Linked DNA regions of Caenorhabditis elegans. The protein of the gene in region 2 purifies or fractionates together with the protein of the main gene of each other region. This does not show direct contact. Each region holds a gene or a part of one and is shown on either strand. Other genes may lie near its edges.

Region 1 (7,148 bases), on a different chromosome or scaffold from region 2:
AACGAGAGCTTTGGTGAGGAGCCATCCACGAATGTCTTCTGAGGTTCTCACGGACCACCCTCCAGTGTGACCGTCGATATTGCCAATCCTTTGCACACGGTACTTCGGTGTTCACATCCTCCAATTGCGGGTTCCAAGTTAGCCACACTTCCCGTACCAATCGAAATATTTTTGATGTCTATCCACCCTTCACCAACAGACTAAAAAAACGTTGCTGCCTGAATATTAGACCCAACCTTGAATCATCCACACTGATTCCGCCTGTTCCACCATCAACCTGTTGTATCCCAGTTCCTGGTTGTGGATCATGTTATGACCAATAACAATTTGTGCAATCGTCCAATGACTGAGCATTTGAAACGCATAGGTGGCCTTCACTCGCATCTTCAAAAGAGTTGAGCAATGATTCCTTCTTCTTTTCGACTTCAAACCAGAAGCCGCTCCTGTCCACCTTGACTGCAACTGCAGAGAGCACGGCAGGTGCCTCTTCCCAAAGCTGACCTGATCCACCTCAGAGGTCTTTTCTTCCCAGTAGACATGTGTAGATCAAAACAATACCTCAGAGGTCTTTTCTTCTAAGTAGACATGTGCATGAAGTCAGTGGTGCAGTGAGCCCGAAAGATCCTGATCGCCAATGTTATATATTCGAGGCCGAACAAGGAGGCGAAGACGAGTAGTTTATTATTACATAACTAAGGAATAAATAGAAAGTTAGTATACATAGATAATGAGTTCACGTTACACGATCTTCATATCCACGTTAAGGGTAAGGTACACGTAGATACCCAACATTTTTTATTAGCTTTGATGCTTTTGGAGATATTTAAGTTTTAAAATTGATAAAAATCAGGTAACCTGTCCCTACTTAGAGCTATCATAACTATGCTCAAAGTTGAGCTACAAAAAATTTGTAAATTAACAACTTATAGAACAATTTGCGTAGATTATTTTGTTAATTGACAATCTTTTGCTAACTTTTGTAGATTTACAGATATTCAGATTTTAAAATATACCACCTTCGTTGAGCCGGTAACTAGCAAAATATAGAAAAATTTAGGAACATTTTTAGTACCAAAAAAACATTTTATTAAAATCCACGCAACAAATTTCAGATTATCAAAAACACGACAACAAGACATAATTGAAAAAAAAAATTAGCAAATTGAAAAATCAGTCCTCCAATGGTAAAGCGCTTCCAATTGGCATCACTTCGAAGACCAGGCACCAACTGACATGTGGCATAAACTCCAAAGGGTCCAAGTTTTCAGTTCTCTTCTTACCGTAGACATTAAGCTCGGATTCATAGGTCAGCGGGATGTTGAAGCAGTGAGGGAATTCGGTGCAGCTGGAAAAAAAGGAAAATTTGGGAAGAGTCCAACTTTGGAAGTTTATAAACTAGTATGTACATTAGATAATTTTAGAATATTTAATAAAAAATTATAGTGAAAGTAATATTTATTATTTTGCCAGTAAACAATTTTCCATCAAGATATAAGCCTCCATAGTTGAGGTGTAATGCTAAACTTCAAAAAAAAATTTTTGCATAAAATCGAACCTGCGCGCCGCAGAACAGGTTCTGCCACAGAAAAATTTGAAATTGTAAGTCAGAATTTTTGCAACGCATTTGCAACACGAAAGTTTTTGTAAAAGTTGTTAGAAATTTGAGTTTTAGTTTTTGGATAATTTTGCAAAAAAAAAACAACTAATTTCGAAAGAGCATAACTCAAAAACCCAACTACTTTCATAAAATTGCTCAACTGCAAAACCGTTGCAAATAATAGCATCTACAATCTTGTAGTTGACAACTTTCCACTAGCTCTACCAGGAGAAAAGTTACAGCGGCCGACACTTCACGGGCTTTTGAAAAGTTCGAAAAAGCACAAGTGAGGTAGTTTGTATCTATTTAAAGAGCCTCAAACTCAAATTTCGATGTATTACATATCAGTGCAATGTTCAAATAAAAACTAAATGAAGATTTTTTGTCGACTTTTCCCTAAAAACATGGTGCATCGGAGCTCCAAATTTCCAGCTGGTGCATCGATGCATCCTGAATTTTGCGAACTTACTCTACTCCCTCCATCCTCTTGCTCACAACCATCGGATGATCCCCGAGCAAGTTCAATGTGGATTGGGTGGCGTGATACTGCTTAACACCAAACGTAAAGCAGGTCCCAATACTCTTCGGTGTCTCGATCCAATTATCAATCAGCTGCACATAGTCATGATGGAACAGTGGACTATGAAGCATGTAGACATTCTTCTGTGGAAGCTTCAGTAGGAAAGGGATCCAGGCAAAGTTCTCCCCAAACATTTTCTCAGTTCCGATAACCAGACGCTGGGTGGCATGGATAACTGGGTGGTCGTGCTCTAGAGGCATATGCAAGCTCTTGAAAGGCAGAGTGCTCTCGTGGAAAATACTGTTCAGACCATCCCAAAGCAGTCCGAACTCCGTACCAAATCTCATATTGGAAACTTTCACTTTAAAATTCTCGGGGAGTCGGTAGACCCCACCTGCATCACCAAGCTCCAGGGTCTTTATCACAATTGGGTGAGCTCTTTTTCCGAACAACTTCTCTGTGATATACTTCATCGCATCATACATTTTCTTGTTATAATCCAGATACTCAATGATCCCATGGAAAGTCTCCCTGTCCCGCCTGAAGTCTAAGTTCATCCTTTGGAATCTGATGCCAAATCTGTATGGAGCTGGTTCATTTTCCTCTCGCCAGCTGTATGGATTCGTGTATGCTTCGAGTTGGTCGGTGACTGCTGGATCTATGTCTGGCTCGTCTTCGGATTCAGATGCTTCGGATTCTGAAGATGAATAGCGTGCTCTTGGGAGGTAAGCGTCGCCGAGGATACGCCGGATCTGAGCTTCCTGGGGGTCATCGTCTTCATCATCTGATCCTTCTGCTGGAAGATCTTCTGCTTCATCCTCATCATCTTCGGAAGAGCTTTCAGGGTCTGAAAAATATATTTTTGAGATTTTCCGAAACAAAAATTGGCCGCCGAAACACTTTAAGCTATCATATTTCAGCTAGAAATCAAGCTATCACAAATTTGTCAACTGAGATAGTGCTCTAAATTTTCTTAAACAGCAGCCGACATATCACTGGACTCCTTATCACCTACCTTCCCTCTGCTGCACCTGCATCCGCCCCTGTGGTCTTATAAAATCCCGCATTGCAAATTGCAACATCTCCATTGTCATATCCTCCATATTATTAATTTTTTCCTTGCTTTCAACTTTCAAATCTCCAGGGCTCAAAACCTCATTGCAGCGGGGATCCTTAAGCCCATACTGATCCATATCATAGGCAGCACCTCCATCTAAGTTCACATTGTTGATATATGGACTATAGTAGACATGGTCTTTCGGTAGGTGGCGGAGCAGTCCTAACGTGTACCTATGTCGGTTGATTCGGATGACACGGGGATTCATGTAGAGCTTGTAGATGTGGAGGGGAGCAGCTTTGTCGGCTGCTTTTAGGGAGTCACATCGTTCCACTAATTTAAATCTGGAATATTTTAAGTAGGTTGATAGGTGTTTAAAAGTAAAAATAATATTGGTAGCTGCCCCACTTCTAGGAACGGCTCAAAATTTGAGCAAAACATGGTTCATCGACAGAAAATTGCTTAAGTTATTATACTTCTACCGAAGCCCGTTTTAATAAATTTTTACACAAAGAAAATTGAATTTTGAGCTGTTAAAGTTGAGGAAAACATGATGCATCGACTGTAAATTTATCAACTTTTGCTCTGAAAAAGTAACCTACTAAAATATATTCCAAACTCTTTTTAAACTTTAATAGCTTTTCAAAAACTTTTTTCAGCTCTACAATCAGAATTCCAAAAAAAAATAAAAGCATACCTCCTATTAGCTTCAAAGAACTGTAGTACACATTTCTGGCACTCATATGGGAGTGGTGTTAAGCTCATATGTAGGTATTTATTACCTGTAAAAAAGTGGGAAATTGGTGCGAAAAGTGAGAAAAACGTTGAAAGAAACGAGAAAATTGTGAAAAACTGACAAAAAATGACTATGATCTAGTAAACAAATTTCCAAAAAGTAGTAAAGCTGCATTCGAAAGTAGTAAAATATTGCCAGAGTGTAGCCAAAAATAGCAAAATTTCAACGAAAATATAAAAAAATAGTCGAAAAATAGCTAGAAATAGTCCAAAAATTGTCAGAAATCGGACAAAACAGCCAAAAAATAGTTCAAAACTTGTGGAAAATACCCAATAATTGTCCGTCTTCCCCCTATTACATACCCCCGTTGGAGAGGCAATAGGGACCATTAGACTACCCTAAATAACTAGGTGACCTCTGTCCATCTGTCGCAGACGGGGCGGGAATGTTTATCTCTGTTGACCTTGAGCATCGGTCCTCTATAGAGAGCCTACACGTACCCGGACTACTTGATGTGAATGGAGAATTAGAATAAAAGAGATTCTATAGATTTTTTTTGTGAAAAATTAGTTCAAAAGCTCATAACTCCGCTGAAAATTGAGCTATTGAAAAGTTGTCAACTACAAAAATATTTCAAATTAATTTTCAAACATTTTGTTGGTGGAAAACTTTTTGCTAGCTCAACTTTCAGCTGAGTTATGATATTTTTAAGTTGGTATTTGAAAAATTTTCATGTGAAAAATCAATTGAGGCTTCTATTTGACAAACTATTTTAGGGTAGAGGGGGGCAAGAATCATGCTGGTTTGGACCAAATCTGACCTTGATACTAATATGTTGTTTACAACATTTGCCGTGTTTGCAAAAAAAAAACAGGCAGAAAATTAACTTTACGCTGGAAAATTGGTAGATATTGGGTCGCCAAAAATGCGAAAAAAAGAATGAAAATTGATCTTCAGTGCCCTTTTATTCGGGTTTATCATGGTGCATTAGCACAGGCTTCCATTTCAAAATTGGCCACATCCATTGAGATGTCGGATGCTGACTTTAATATCAACTTTGTTTGCAGCCGACACTTTCCCGGTTCCTTTCAAAATGTCGAAACAGTAGAAGACATCTCACAAGATTTTTCAAGCTTGTATTAACAAAAAATCAACCAAGAACCGCAGCCGACATTTCCGGGCTTTCAAGTGTTCCTATATTAAATCCGTAAATTGCACACTTGACAGAAATAAAAAATAAGGGCACGTTTTCGACATGAGGTGTCCCGAGAAATGTGACTGCACTTTGAGAACTTATATCTTAGCTTAGGATTGGCGTTTTTTTTTGAGCAATTTGTTTCAATAGCTCCAATCATATTGAGGACCGCACTTTTTGAACATTATGGCCACTTTTAACCTCAGCAGGACAGGCCAAATGCTATTTCATTTCACTCAAATCCAAAAATCAGGGATAAGGGCTGCCTGCTTACTCTTAGAAACTTTAGGCTTTTTCTATCCCTACTTCCAGCAGAGCAGGCTGGAGGACTTTTATGAGACTACGTCTGTATTTGAAAAGATCAGTTAATTCGGATTGAGGGCTGCAGGCCCAAATACACATAGAAGTATTGGACAATCTTTAAGCCTACTCTGAGCCCAATAATCCAGGTTGAGGGCCGCAGGCCCGAATACACGGATAGAAAAGACCCAGAAATAATATTATCTCAAATGACCATGGCTCAATCAGTTTTCATTCAAAATGATCAAAATTTTCCCGAGTTTTCCAACTTAAACTACTGCGAAGCCTAGCGCGCTTGACGCGCTAGTCAACAGCGTGGAAAATGCGTCTATCGGTCATTGAGACATGGAACTAGTACGGAAATTCAAAAAAAAATTAATTAAAAATTTAAAAGAACACGTTTCCACGTTTTAACAGTATAAAAGAGAGAAATATTCGAATATTTGATCTATTACTCAACATTATGAACGGCTACAAGTCCCTCCTTGTGTTGGTCACCGTCTTTGTTGTCGCACATGCCTATCAAACAGGGTATTACCCTTTGAAGCGTTTGGTTTCCGATGGTCCCTGGCAACCCGTCTCATTGTGCCCTTCTGAAAAAGTTTTTGGGATTCAAATCAAGTACAACGTCAATACGAGCGACGTTCCAACAGGGATCGCCATTGTGTGCGATCGTAGTAAGCATTTATTTACTGTTTTGGAGCATGTAATTGAATTTTCAGGCAGAAGAGCTTCGAACTCTCCAGGAGAACGCCAATGGAGCAGCTCTCAACGTTGTCCCAATAAACTAAGAGTGATTGGATATTCCCTTCAAATTGAGCCGAACAACACTGCCGGAGCTAACAATATTGCTGTTTTCTGTGGAGATGGTTCTGAACCGAGAAGCAAGAGATTCAATCTGACAGGTTTTAACAGAAATGTTGCTTGTGATATTTAAAATTGTGTTTTAAGGAAACGCAGATCGTGGCTTGTGGACAAGAGCTCAATTCTGTGAAGCGGGTCACGTGGTGTGTGGAATTGAGTCTCAATCAGATAAGCCAAACAATGTTAACATGGTCTGTTGCTCTCCTTGGAAAGTGTCCACCCGTGGCACAACCAACACCAATAGAAATATCAAAGCCCATGAAACTACCCGAGGATTCACCCAGCGACCCACCGCAGCTGGATGGACAATTAGAGCCAATGGCATTACTCGCGGACAAACGAGAGTCCCTGGAACTACTCGAGAACCCACCCATCGACCAACCACAGCTGGATGGACAAACGGAGCCAATGGTACTACTCGTGATACTTCTCGAGGATTCACCCAGAGACCAACCACAGCTGGATGGAGAAACGGAGCCAATGGTACTACTCGTGATACTTCTCGAGGATTCACCCAGAGACCAACCACAGCTGGATGGAGAAACGGAGCCAATGGTACTACTATTGATACTTCTCGAGAATTCACCCAGAGACCAACCACAGCTGGATGGACAAACGGAGCCAATGGTACTACTATTGATACTTCTCGAGGATTCACCCAGAGACCAACCACAGCTGGATGGACGAACGGAGCCAATGGTACTACTATTGATACTTCTCGAGGACCCACCCATCGACCAACCACAGCTGGATGGACAAACGGAGCCAATGGTACTACTATTGATACTTCTCGAGAATTCACCCAGAGACCAACCACAGCTGGATGGACAAACGGAGCCAATGGTACTACTATTGATACTTCTCGAGGACCCACCCATC
Region 2 (7,544 bases):
AAGTTCAGAAAAAATGTTCTACAAGTTTTTACGTGCCAAAAGTACAAAAACATTCCAGTTCACAAGATTCCCATTTTCCGAAAAAGTTAACTTTCACTTTCGAATTTTGGGAAATTTATAGTTTTTAAACAATATATTTCAGATTTTGGAAAACTATGTTTAAAATTACTTTGTTTTGATAATTTCAATATTATTGATTACTTTCAGTTAAAACGAAAAACTTTTAAAAATAGTTATTCTCAAATAATCAAAAGGGCAAATTTTTGGCCATCACTGTACAGAAAACTTAATGATGTACTGATGAGAGCTCGCTTTTTTCTTACTTCCGCCGAACCGAGCACAAGCTGATCTTCAAAATTTGAGAAGTAAACAGTATTTAAAGTTGCTTTAAAATTTTTGGATTTACGCAGAAATTTAAAAGAAATTTGTTTTAAATTTTCAATTTCGCAAGTGCAAACCTCACGTTTATAAAAAATCCCCCCCCCCCCCTCCCTCTCTGTCGGAAAAAATAAAATTAATCGAAATTTGAATCAGTTCGAGAAAATTACATCGAAATGGGAGTCGAGTTATCGTTGGATCCGCCAGTCTGCCCAATCCAAGCCAATGGTGGTGTTTCTACGCACAAGATCATTAATCACTGCGACAAAATGTTGGCCTATAAGGTATGGAATCCACATTTTATTAAGTCAATTGAATTTTCAGATAAAATCTTCCAATAACTCCAACTACAGTGTCAACACTATCTTTGGACTTATTCAGATTGGGTATACCGCTGATCTGATCATCACTAGAAAGGTATGTAGTAGTTGTCGCCTGGCCTAAAAATTAAACATTTTTTTCAGCCAGGAAAGCCGCAGGCCGACAAGCTTGTTATCCAATTCGCTGCCGTTGAGCAGACTTGCCGTGATGGCTGTATTTGCCAAGGCTGTATTTGCCAATGGACTGCCAACTGGAGAGTGCTGTGGAGAGACGATCATCAAGCTGTCAGCTGCTGAATAGAAGAATTATCACAATAAGATTTGTGATTATGAAAACTTCTCTGAAAATTATGTATTGTGTGTATAAATAAAGTTGAAAGGGGAATGATTTTTTGAAAGTTTGTAGTTTTTATTTGAGAACCGGGAAAATTACAAAAACGACCACCCGCAATGTTTATATTTCGACCATTTTTTGAAAACCGGGAAAGTGTAACCCAAATTTGGTATATACTGTGCCAATATTCTATTCGCTCTCGCTTTTACGGAAAAATATTTTCAACTAACAAAATTTTGCCGTTTTTAAATCTAATTAGTCAGTATTTTTACTTGCCAGACGTTTTTTGGCTAATTTTATAGCAGGAGAGAAAGTAATTATATTTGCATAAGTGTTTTTAAAAAATTGCAAAAATTGAAATTTAGACATTAAATAATATTTTTTAGCAATGGAATGGTCATATTATAATAACATTTTAAACATAAAAACAATGTTGAGTAAAAGATTTAGTTATAAATTACGTGAACTTCATGTTTGCCTTCGAAATCTAACCAAAATCTAACCGTATGACATTCCACGCGTCCAATGACATTTATCAAGATTGATCGGAATATAAATTCAGTTTGAATCTTTTTAACGATGGCAACTCCCGATACTTCGGCTGCGAAAATGGCGGGACAGGATCGTCAAAAGGTACGTGATTTGACTTTTTCTAAAATGAGTTTTCGAACTTTCTTTGACTTTCAAAATAATTGTTATTTTCAGTTAAAAGTTGTTGCATGGTTGCAAAATCTTGTTGAGCGACTGAAAGGATGGACTCCAGGACATTGCCAGAAGCTATTCGATGAGAAGGAGCTCATCCAGCTTTGTTATCGTGCTCGTGAAGTCTTCTGGAAGAACAATGTGAAGTTAGAGGTGTGTACAGACTGCAAAATTCTTTTAAAAAATTAATTTTCTTTAGCTGAAGGCTCCTGTCAAGATATGCGGAGATCTTCATGGGCAGTACGAGGATTTATTGGCCCTGTTGGAATTGAATGGATGGCCTCCAGAGACCAAGTATCTCTTTCTGGGAGACTACGTTGATCGAGGACCGTTTTCGATCGAGGTCATCTCATTGCTCTTCGCCTATCAAGTCCTCCACCCGGACAAAGTTTTCTTGCTCCGAGGAAATCATGAGAGTCGCCCGGTTAACATGCAATACGGATTCTTTATGGAATGCCGTAAAAGATTTTCAAATGCTCTCTACGATGCGTTCCAACTGGCATTCTACTGCATGCCACTTTGTGCAGTAGTCAGCGACAAGATCATCTGTATGCATGGCGGAATTTCCGAGGATTTGGTGGATTTGAGGTTTGAAATTTCGGCAATCAAGGTTTATGCTCATTATTTTGGTTACAGACAACTTGACAAAGTCGAACGTCCCTGCGATGTTCCCGATATTGGCGTCATTGCTGACCTGACATGGGCTGATCCGGATGCCACCATTCAAATGTACGCCGAGTCGCAACGTGGAGCCGGTCGTGTCTTTGGAGCAGAAGCAGTCAAGAAATTCCTGAACACCCATCATCTCGAACTTGTCGTTCGTGCCCATCAAGTCGTCATGGATGGCTACGAATTTTTTGCTGATCGGCAACTCGTCACCATCTTCTCGGCGCCATCATACTGTGGACAAATGGACAACGCTGCGGCAGTTATGACTGTGGATGAAGAATTGGTTAGTTACTTTAACGAACTTTAAAAAATTGTTTACAACTATTCATTACAGGTGTGTTCCTTCACTGTGATGCGTCCGGACTTGAAGAAAGACAAAGAAAAGAAGGCAGCTGTAGGAATTGTCCCCAACTAACAGGCGTGCCCACCATTCAAGGATCAATTTTGAATTAGAACTACTTGATTTTGTATTTACCAATAAATTTTTTGGTGTTTTTTTTGCCCATTCACTGTTTATAGAATAAATTCCTACAGTTAAAATAAAATAATCGCATTTTTCAACCATTTACATTCTCAGATATCATCCAGTGATCTAAGGAAATGAAACAAAATATCATATTTTATATATCATCATCATGATCAAAGTATCATAGTTTCCTCACGATATGAGGAATAACATCTGTGATTTCACTCTGCGGATAGTGTGCTTTTTATCCGGTTTTCATTTAGAAATTATATTTCTTTTATTGTTGTTTTTCAGAAATTTATTTAATATTTCCTATTCTTATTTTATTTGTGCTTCTCACACTTTTTCCCCTTTCGGCCCTATCCGTTTATTTATGCTTGAGAGTTGCGCATTTTCCGATATCAGTAGTTTCTCTAATTATTTGATACGTATACTTTTACATATGCTTCACCTGTTCCCTTGGTAATAACCTTCTTTTCCTCTCATTCTCTCTATCCCTTTACTTCTATTTCGGAAACAGCCAATTAGTGCATATCGAGATATTAAATAAAACGTAGAGACCGCAGAGATATTGTCATATGGTATCCAATGGCAACCGAAAGCATTTACTAGTGCGAAATGTCTCTTTGAGGAATAAGATAGAAATGGAGGATTATAAGAGGTTTAGAGAAAGAAGACAAAAACGAAGGTCTTCTTGTTTAGTTGCTGGGAAGAGCGACTAATAAGATATTCAAGATTTTCAGACAATATCAGGAGGTTGCACACAAACAAAAAGACGTCCCGTGGGTTTTGTTTTTCAGAAATTGTAATCTTCTTCTATTCCATCTCGACCTATCTTCTTCTACTTCTTCTAGTTTTCTTTTTCTCTGTTTTTTTCCGAATGTAATACATATGTGCATAGATTCCAACATGTTCCAGTGAAATGGGCGAATATCAATTACACCAATCTCGTAATTTGAGTGTCAATCAGACCCTTGATGAGATTCTGGGAATCAGTAGAAAATCAGAAACAACCACAACATCAAGTGGCTCAAGTGGAGCTGAAAAGAATGCATTGAACTCTCCGATCCGGCCACCAACAAGACATGGTAGAGAATCATCGGGAAGCAATGAAGAAAATAAAGTATGTTTGACATTAAAATTATTTTAAAAAAAATTTCACTATTCGGAAAAACTAAATCCTTTTTTCTACGTGCTTGAAATAGGCGGTAGGCATATAGGTAGGCAGGGATTAGGCAGGCAAGTGTCTACTATGTAAGCCCTAGAAAAACCAAAATCATACTATCAAGGTGATAAATGTGTGCTCACAAAACGTGTCTGAAATGGCAGTTCAAAGTGCAATATTTTGCACTTTCAAAGTAAGGTCACAAAAATGATTGTCTACATCCGTTTTTGCCATAAAAAGTGGATTCGTCTTATGATTTTGCCAATACCTGTTACAAAGAATTCCAATAACTTAAAAAATTGTTAGTTCTAGTGTAGAAAACCTAGCTAACGAAAAAAGAAAAATCTCTAGGAATTTCAAAAAATTTCAGTCCAATGCCAGATTTCAGTAACAATTAAACTGTGATAATTGGAATAATTTTCAGGATCCGATTCAACTGGAGAATGGAAATGGATCAACATTGAGCTTTCTAACATCTTCTTCATCTGCTACGTCATCAACTGCTGCTAGACGAAATTCAGATGATGATTTTATAAAGAAATTGTGAGCTATTCTCACCTTTAAGTATTTTTCAGCAATCATAATTTTTCAGAAATGATATCAGGCGTCGCTCATTGATTTCTACAATGGATGCAACATCTACACCAACTACATCTGTTCCAATTCATTTTGATTCTCCGAGACGGTAAGTTCTTAGAAACATTGAATATTTTTAATTTGGAGTTTACTTCAGAGAGTCTCGTCCTTGTCTCGAAATTCACGTAGAAGAATCGCCAGAAGAACTTTCAACGCATGCTGTAGAGATCACCGAGTTTCATAGAGACTTGTCGGAAAATTCATTGGGTACAAGTACAGATCATGAAGATCCGAGTCTAACCTTCAGAGTGGATAAAGAATTGGAACAATCTGAATCTAAGAAGACAACTAAAAGGCCTGCAAGTGGAGTTAAGAAAACACTGAAAGCTTCGATTTCTATTGATGCTCCGAAACCAAAACCTCGACCTCGCCCTCAGACCTCAGCAAATTTGTCTACAAAAACAATCAAAGACAAAGATCAAGAGATGATGCAAATGTCTATGTTGTAAGCTATTTTCTTAAATTTTAATTACATGAGGGGAAGCTGCCAATTTTGATTTTCCAGCGGGTCCAAGTTAAATAAACCTTCTGATGCTCATCACAAGGAATGGCTTCAGAAGAAGGAAAGAGAAATTCGGGAGAAAAAGGCAAAAGAGAAAGCTGCAGCAGAGCAGAAAGCTGCAACGGAGGTACCGTAGTTTTAATATTTTTAAACGGAATTGTAACCAACTTTGTTTCAGAAAGAACGTCGTGAAAACTCTGCAAAGTTGTATCAAAGATGGGTTCAGGATCATGATAAAAAAGCGAAGGAATTAAAATCGAAGAAAACTCAACAAGAAAGGAAAAAATCTGAAAATGAGAAAACAACGCAAGATCAGAAACTGAAAGAAGCTGAAAAGGTACTCAACATTTTAAATAAATCTAATAAATAATTGAAATTTAGAATTATGAAATGTGGAAGCGGGAACGTTCGAAATCTGTAACAGATATCAGAAAGAAACTGGAGCAAGAAGAAGACAAGAAAAGAAAGAAAGAGGAAGAAGCTAAAAATGAAAAGATCAAAGAAGCACAGGCAGCTTTTCTAGCATGGTTAGTTTTACGGATTGATAAACTACAAGTGACTTTTCGTTTGTGCTCCGAAGAATATGATATGGTTTTTTACAATATTAATTCTACAATTAGTGATTGTTCGCTGAAATCTCAAAGAAGGCTCCACCGATATCTTGGATTTTTTGGAGTTTTTTCTCGCATATAATCTGCATATTCTGAACAATTTTTGTGATATCCTTCTATATTCTTTGTGGATCATATTATGCACAGATGAAAAATTTATCGATTTTTGCTCCAAAAGTACGGTACCAGGTCTCTAAACGATTTGTTCTCTTGAATTAAACAGAGCGTGTGTAATTTAGGAGTACTGTAGTTTTATTCTCCCGTTTCTTCAGTATTTTATGTATTTTAATATATTTACCATTTTTCAAAGAGTTTTGAAGAAACCGAAGAACAAGTATAAAAAAATCACTGTAAATTTCTCAACAACGAGAAGTTGTCAACTACAGTACTTTTTAAAGGCGCACACTCTTTTGCATTTGAGAAAAGCAGTCGTTTCAAGACCAGGTATTGTTTCTTGGGGCAAAAATCGCAAATTTTCGAATATGAGTAATAATACAAAGCCACGAGAAGCCAAGCTTTGTTAAAAATTTGAAACCGAAATATTTTTCCAGGAAACGGAAAAAGGAAGAACTATTGAATGAAGAAGCTGAAAAGTTGAAAAAGGAACAAGTTCAAAAACAATTGGAAGAATCTGAAAAAATGACAAGATTGTCGTTGGCTAATGAAGCATACGAAACATGGATTGAATTGAAAGAATCGGAACGAGAGTTTATTGCCGATTTTGTGCTTATTGAAGCTCCGCCGATTCCATGGCTTCCACCGAGTAATTTGATTCCAAGGCAATTCGTGAGATCGTCGAATGGAAATCGGTTAGTTTTGTTATTAATGCCTCTTTTGAAATCAAATTGCAAACGCGCTTCACGGCTAATTGAAAGCTCCGCTTTTGGATAATGGGTCTCGTTAGGTATTTGGCGGCAAACCCAAAAATTCAAACGTTTTTGATTAATTTCGCCTAAATATTTGTCGTCTTTTTTTGTAATGTTTTCCGTTGTTAATGATTTATAAGTCGAAACGTTCGTAGGTAGAGCTTATTCAATTAGCCGTGGAGTTCGTTTCCTGTCAATTTCAAAAGCTGATTTTTCTGCCTACATACAAGTTTAAAATCATTAACCTTATGTTTCAGTCTTCGCGCACGGTCTCAATCTGCTAAATCCATTGCAAAACGATCGAGAAGTCGTCCTGGCACTACAACTTCTTTGCGCCCATTTCGTTAAACTGTGATAACGAATTCTATGAAATCAATAAACTTATGTTCTTTCAACAACAACAAAAATAATAACAAAAAAGCGAACGGGTTGAAACAAAAAAGTTAAATATAAAGAAAGGTATCTAAATAACAAAAATGAGTAAAAGTCTGGGTGGTAAAGAAAAAGTATTAAATCGAACAAATTAAAGAGTGACGTTCAGACGTTCGAAAATCGGCGAATTCTGTTTAAGAACGGCTTTCTTGTCGTATTTCTGCATCAATTTGAATGTACCGGTTCCGACAGTCATTGGGGTTCCCATAATAATACACTCCGAAACTCCATGAATCTAAAAAAAGTTCAATAAATTTTCTACAATTAAAACAAATTAAAAAAAATCGAAAATATTTGGGTTTTTATTTTTTCGATTTATAAACTTTAATAGGAAACTATAAAATTTACTTACCACGTCACGTTGAGAGAAAAATGCAGCTTCAAACAAGTGATCCATCGTTTTTTCGAAGGAAGCAAGTAAAAGTACGGAATCTTTCATTTTAACGAGACCATTACGAGTGAT
Region 3 (6,438 bases), on a different chromosome or scaffold from region 2:
TTTTCTGAGGCAACAGTATTTTTTGAAAAAGTATATTCTGGGGGAATACAAATTAAAATTATACTTCCTCACAGTTACAGATTCACATTTTGGAAATTTTCAAACAAAATTTCAAAATCAGAAACTATCAACCAATGAATATAAAAACAGCACAACATCATTAAAAAACGTGAAAACCGAAACTTCCATGAAAACCGAATATGACAACTGCTTGGCACACTATTAAGCAAACAAAAAAGACTTCTTCTCCCGGAAGTCACTTATGTGCATGTTTCTGGAAAACATGACAAAAACTGGACTTACTCATCGCGGAACTTTCCCACTTTCGATGTCTTCTTCCGAGTATCGATTTTGTCCATCAAATTCAAATAGCTCACACGATCGTAGAGATCCGAGTCGAGCTGAAAAAAATTTGAAAAATACAGTACCATTTCTAAGACTTACTTCGTCTTCCATGGTTTTGAGCTGCAGTTTGCTAATGGTTTTTGACAAGGTACCTGGAAAAAATAAAAAAAGATGTTTCAAGGAGATCTAAAATTGGAAAAAAAAACTAGGGAATAGTTGCCAGTTGTCGTCTAAAGACTAAGACAAGAAAATGTCTCATAGGACGGAATGATGGGGGTGGGGTCGAATGGGATAAGAGAAGGAAGCTCAATTACTTGTATTGTCGACAGATACACCTTTCGAGACGGAAGGAAATGTACAATCGTTTGAGCAGGGACGGAGCCCAGCTATGATTGCACGTACCAAACAATTTTTATACTCCATCCCACAATGTATATCCATCATCTCAAAAGTATACATTCCGTCTTCCTCCTCCTCCTTCTCTTTTTACTCCAACATCTCCCGACCATCATCGTTCTATTATTTTTCCCGTTGGATTGGCACGAATTGGTATACCCAAATTGGTACACTTCTTACGACTAACAATGAACCCGTCACATACCTTTCCTTTTTCTTTTAATAGTATGCATCAAGGGATGGAAGGACTTAGATTGGGAATCGAAGAAGAAGCAACGTCTGCACTTTCAGGATTCCTCTGAATGCCGCTCCTTGTTTGTTCTCAACCGCACTTCCTAGTCTACTGTTACTTTTTTACGCTCCATGGGTCACACGTGTACAAGATTGTCTGCGACCGTTGGACTCGGTGTGGGGGCTCGATGGCAGGAAAATTGCTGGCTCGCCGTGTAGCAGGAAACACCAAACTACGACAAGTCTAGGTATTCAAAAAATATGTTGCTGTCAAATTTTTTGAAAAGAACAGCTTGATAAAGTTCTCTTTCAAAAACCGTTTTACTGTAAATCATTGAGCTTTTTAATTATAAGTTATTTCCTTCAAGAGATTGCACTTCTTAAAATGTTCGCAAAAATTGTATTTCAAACTCGGAAAATTCAATTGTTTCTTTTTCTGATTCAATTCAATAATTTCTATTCATTTGTGATCCCAAAGGCAATTAGAGATTTTTTAAAAAATAAGTTTTCTGTTTCAAAACTTTTTCGAATTGAACTATTTCACCAATTGTCAACATTTATTTACAACGAAAGTTTCAGCCATTAAATTTTATTTAAAGTGTTAAAAAATGTTTTTCTTTCAAAAATAGAATATTGCCGAATGAGAAAACTGTTTACAGTTACGTGCTCATAACCAAACTTAAAAACCAGAAGTATCAAAATTTTTATATACATACAGTCACAATGTGTCAATTAGTCAGTTCTTCCACTAACAGATTTGGAAAAAAACATCGATATGCAAATTTGCCCTATTGTCCAAATCAAATCACACATTTTCCAAACAGGACCATTAACCAGAGTATTTCTTTTTTCCAATTTTGCGTTCAGTAAGTTTTTCATTTCAAAAGAATCTTGATTTATTACACCCGTCAATCAAACAACTGAAATTTTAAAAAATAAGAAATGATAGAAAAACTGTACATATGTGGATAAGATCTATACACCAAGTCCCAGAAAATGGACGCACTGTTTCAGACCGGTGGTTTCAATTTCATCTTTCTCATCTATGTCACTATCAAAGTTTCCATAGTAATCATCAGTATTGCCAGACGATTTTTTAGATGAATCAGAAGTTTTTGAAGGTTTCTTCTTTTCGTCGATCTGATCGTAGTAATCAGGAGATCGTCTGAATCGCTTGATCGGATTGAAGTCCTGAAAAAATTTAGATTTTAAAAATTCAAGTTGTTATTCACCTTGAGGAAATTGAATTTATCTGTCGAGAAGAATATTCCATTCTCCAACTGTGGTGCTTGAATCGGTTGTAAAATTAGTGAAGGCACAGATTTGAAAGCAAGCGGCGGGGCTGGTGGAATAGTTGGAGGCGCGAAAAATGGCATTTGAGTCCAGCTAGAGACAAGATCATTTCTGATTTCCAGCGGTTGTAATGATTCTGTAAATATTTTAAATATAATGAAAAGCTTACTTGAAATAAACATACTTGTCTCAGGGTTGCTACTCCACGTTTTGGATCCGTGTGCTGTTTGCACGGGAATCACCGGGGTAATAGATGGGGTATCATAATCCGCCCAGCGCTTCTGAAATTGTTAATAATATTCTCATTGTTCTAAAATGAGAAAAAGAAAACCATACTCTATTATCATCGTCTTGTAATTGTGCAGGATCGTCCATCATTGGTTTTTGAGGCTCATCATCAGTAGGCTCATCAAAATCGGGGATCGATGTCACTGGTGGTTCTGTGGATGGAGGTGCACCGCCTTTTGCATCTGTTGGCTTTTCAATAGATGTCATGAACCTGAACTTATTTTTTCTATAAGTTTCAATGTTAAAGCTAACATACTTATCAATCAATTGGAATCCCTTGGAAAATAATTTACACTGCGCATCATCCATGCCTTGTTCTTTGCATACAGCGTGAACTGCATCAGAGTTACTGGAAATTTGATTTACACTTTATTATATTTGTTTTTTTGTTTGCACAACCGTACCTGCTGATAGTTTTTCTAAGCTTAGCATCTCCAAGTATTTGAGCAGCAAGTTGTATATTGCCAAATGTCGGATCTTTTTTGAAGTTTTCAGCAGAACACGAAATGAATCGGCAAATACTGAAATTCCCAAAATAAAAAAAAATGAAAGTTCCAAAACATTCGAATTACTTACTTGCTATTCCCCTTGCAAAGTGGTACATCATCTAACGCAGTTCTCGAGTGTGATCCCAAAATTGATGAGTCGCGCATATCATCTTGAGTTGGAGCGTCCTTTAAAATTTCAATGTATTATTTGGAACTAATTTTTACGCGTGCTCGCGTATGTCATTTTCAAAATTTTTGAAGCATTGGAAAGTTCAGAATGCTCAAAACTACTGAATTTCGTGATAAGACGTTCTGAAATTTTTTTCAAAAACGGTATGGCGGTTCTAAATTTTGAATAAAATGTAAATTTTCACTAAAATCTCAAATTTTACTCGATTTACTAGAAATTTTGCGCGACCATTTGTGGATGTAAGTTTTTATTGCGTAATTTTGTAATTACGTCCTGTTTTTTGATTTAGGCTCTGATTTTGTCAAGTTTGCAAAATTGGAGATTTTAAAACAGTCATTTTTTCAGTACTTATAACCGCCTTCAGTAATTCTGAGGAATTTTGAGTACGTCTCATTACAAAATTCGGAGGTTTCTAGCTATTTTGGGTTTAAAAATCGAATTCCCAGATTGTTTTACCTCACCGTTTAAGCTTGCAAAGAAGCTTACAGGCAATATTGGTGATTCAATTTATATCACCTAATTCGATCAGTTCTGGAATTGACTCTGATTTTGAGCTTACTGGTTTAAGCTTACTGGTTTAACTCACTGGTTTTCTAAGCATTCCTTCGTTTTGAATAGGTTTTGAAGTGTCAAAGATCGGTCTCACGAGACTTAATGCGCCGGATATAATGTCATCAATTGAAACTGAAAATTGTGAAAGATTGCTTAGGTTTACAAGGACGCTAAAAATAAAACTTACTTTGCCTTTTGCTTCGCTCTGATAATACTACAGGTACCAATAACAGAAAAAGTAAGTAACATTTCATCTGGAAAAACGGCTTTGTGATCACAAAAAATTGAACACCTAATTGAAAAGATAAAGAACGAGGTTAAGGATAAGATCACGGTGACCGATTTAGTGAGAAAGAGACGAAAATGATAAGAAACGGTGAATAAAATGATATAGTCTTTCACTTTGGTGGGTCATGAAGCATGAAGCAACTACGATCCAAGACTGGATCAAGTGATTAAATGATGCGCCTTGCGACATACTCATGTTTAGTGAACTTATTGAAAAGGTCGCCTGACGCTTCTAGAAATAACAGTATTAAGGATGAACGTCCGGAGGTAAGCGGGGGAAAAGTTTTCCTAAAAACCGGTCAATTGCGAGACTCGTCTGCGCATCCGCGTGTTCCAACCATATTTCTAATATATCTCCATTCAACAAGCGCATAGGGAGATTCTCTAAATTTCGCTTGCGCAGGGTTGATCGATCGATCGAATTACTCCGGTTATAGTAGGACACTTCGCCTCCAATCCGGTGATGCAATTCATGGATAGAGATGATAGAAACAGCAAATCACAGCGGAAAACAAAAAAATCCACGCTCGCTTCATTGCTTCATGATTGGAAAAAGGTAGTTCAAGTTCAAGGCCGACAAAAAACAGAAAAAAATAGATAGAGAGTGAAAGTAAAAAATATATATAACAAATTTTTAATACTACAGCTGGTTTGCATGGTATTCTGATACATTTGCATAAACCGTTTTTTTTTCACTTTTTTTCTGAATACGTGCGTAATGTTTGTCTGGCTTGAAAGTACACAGAGAGAATGAAAAAAAAAAACAATTCCGATTGTGATATGCATGTTATTCATTCAATGAAAACGTGTACTTTAAAATGTTTTAAATGACAAAACACCAGATAACCATAGATTTAAAATCGAAGTTGTTAAATAAAATCACAGAAGTGAAAAGTAAATGAACATGAAACTTCATCTATTGACATTTTCTGCGAGTACACTGCCCATGTTCAATTGGAACCACAGTTGTTACACAGAACAAGACAACGGCGGCAGACGACGCACGGAACCGAATTGGGAAGGGATTGAAGATTCCCGCCTCAAAGTGGTTTGGATACTGAAAATAGACATTTTGTAGATATTGTTCTCCAAATTTCCTAAATTCTTGATACCTGAACATTTTTGAACAGTGACTCTTCAAGGCTACATCCCATATCATCAATAATAGGGTATGGCTGGAAACCTGGCTCATCCGAGCTCAATGTGCAATTTACAACTTGGAGGCAATTTCCAGTTATTGGCTTACACTTTATTTTATAGTAAATCTCGTCGTCAAGAGATGCTCCTGAAATTTTTGAACTTTTTGAAACAATAACAGAGGCTGTTTGACAGACATTGTATATGTTTGTAGTTTTTTACAAACTTCTTTTTTTTTTAAATTCAAATTTGTTATTTTCTGAAACTTTTTTCAAACACCAGAACTAAAGCATACCTGAAACAACTTGTCCATAAGGTCCCTTTTTGTGAATCGAAAAGTCGCACGTTATACTATTATCAACAGTTTTCGACAACAAGTTCGGTTTTTGTTTTGACTTATAGATGGATAGCGTGGGCGCTAGAACGCTAAGAAAAAGTATGAATACGAGAAGTTGGTTGGACATTTGTATGCTGGATCGATTCATTCCATTCTGGAGATACCCCGATACAAGTAGGTCATTGCGTTCGGAACAATGTGTTCTTCTTGATTTATTACTTTTCGTAGACGATAAAACATTTGAATTTTTTGATGTACAAGTTAAGAAGTAAGCATAATTTAGGATACATTTTATTTACAGAGAAACAAAAAAATGAAGGAATGAGGATGGATTTTTTTCTGAAAGATTTATAAAATGAGTATTGAAGAGAAGAAGATACTCGTTATAAGTACATTTCCATCTTTCAATTATTGGCAAAATTCGTACAAAACATTCACAGGACGGGAAAGAAAGTGAAAATATGATAAATAACTATAATTTTTGAACTACTTTACTATTTTAATCTATTTCTTGGTTGACATTTTCATCATATCGCTGACCATATCATCCAGGCTGGCAGAAGAGGATGACGAACCAATTCCGTTTTTTGAAACATCGACTTTGGTCAAGTTCTTGTTCTCCACTTGGCGTATTGGTTGTAAAACTGAAAAAGGAAAAAGGAAATGAGATTTGAAAAGAGGATATCATTTGGTTTGGGCTGATTCCTTTGATGAATCATTTAGTGATTCATGAAGAGGAGGTTGTAACAAAATGAATACATAGCAAATGATAACTGCGTAGAGGAACAAACCGTACCAGCTTGAGAAGATTCGGCGGAAGGTGTCGTGTGTCGGAGCATCAGGTCGTCAAAGTCAAACAAGTCTCGTGAAGATTGGGATCGTACCTCTGGTTT

Evidence for each region.
Region 1: the proteins of maph-9 (region 2) and fbxc-51 fractionate together in Caenorhabditis elegans (co-fractionation; one large-scale study listed by BioGRID). This does not show direct contact.
Region 3: the proteins of maph-9 (region 2) and F46G11.2 fractionate together in Caenorhabditis elegans (co-fractionation; one large-scale study listed by BioGRID). This does not show direct contact.

What each region holds. Positions count from the first base shown.
Region 1 is NC_003280.10:865,622-872,769, reverse strand, and holds fbxc-51 (F-box C protein), read right to left. Parts: upstream 3,957-7,148; 5' UTR 3,940-3,956; coding exon 3,872-3,939; intron 3,519-3,871; coding exon 3,133-3,518; intron 2,965-3,132; coding exon 2,067-2,964; intron 1,346-2,066; coding exon 1,171-1,345; 3' UTR 1,071-1,170; downstream 1-1,070. Other genes in the region: Y46B2A.3 (Fibrinogen C-terminal domain-containing protein), read left to right, coding at 5,869-6,082, 6,128-6,310, 6,357-7,148.
Region 2 is NC_003282.8:7,153,113-7,160,656, forward strand, and holds maph-9 (Protein maph-9), read left to right. Parts: upstream 1-3,515; 5' UTR 3,516-3,651; intron 3,652-3,787; 5' UTR 3,788-3,791; coding exon 3,792-3,992; intron 3,993-4,458; coding exon 4,459-4,577; intron 4,578-4,626; coding exon 4,627-4,719; intron 4,720-4,767; coding exon 4,768-5,115; intron 5,116-5,175; coding exon 5,176-5,299; intron 5,300-5,350; coding exon 5,351-5,509; intron 5,510-5,553; coding exon 5,554-5,699; intron 5,700-6,334; coding exon 6,335-6,592; intron 6,593-6,906; coding exon 6,907-6,997; 3' UTR 6,998-7,044; downstream 7,045-7,544. Other genes in the region: C34D4.3 (MSP domain-containing protein), read left to right, coding at 555-662, 703-795, 843-995; C34D4.2 (Serine/threonine-protein phosphatase), read left to right, coding at 1,612-1,665, 1,738-1,887, 1,934-2,322, 2,371-2,686, 2,738-2,818; rpc-1 (DNA-directed RNA polymerase subunit), read right to left, coding at 7,173-7,316, 7,434-7,544.
Region 3 is NC_003284.9:5,785,762-5,792,199, reverse strand, and holds F46G11.2 (uncharacterized protein), read right to left. Parts: upstream 4,040-6,438; 5' UTR 4,038-4,039; coding exon 3,971-4,037; intron 3,916-3,970; coding exon 3,818-3,915; intron 3,228-3,817; coding exon 3,130-3,227; intron 3,075-3,129; coding exon 2,958-3,074; intron 2,903-2,957; coding exon 2,810-2,902; intron 2,765-2,809; coding exon 2,602-2,764; intron 2,547-2,601; coding exon 2,450-2,546; intron 2,402-2,449; coding exon 2,205-2,401; intron 2,164-2,204; coding exon 1,948-2,163; 3' UTR 1,855-1,947; downstream 1-1,854. Other genes in the region: F46G11.6 (ZP domain-containing protein), read right to left, coding at 4,988-5,128, 5,184-5,356, 5,504-5,672; gakh-1 (Protein kinase domain-containing protein), read right to left, coding at 6,050-6,189, 6,342-6,438.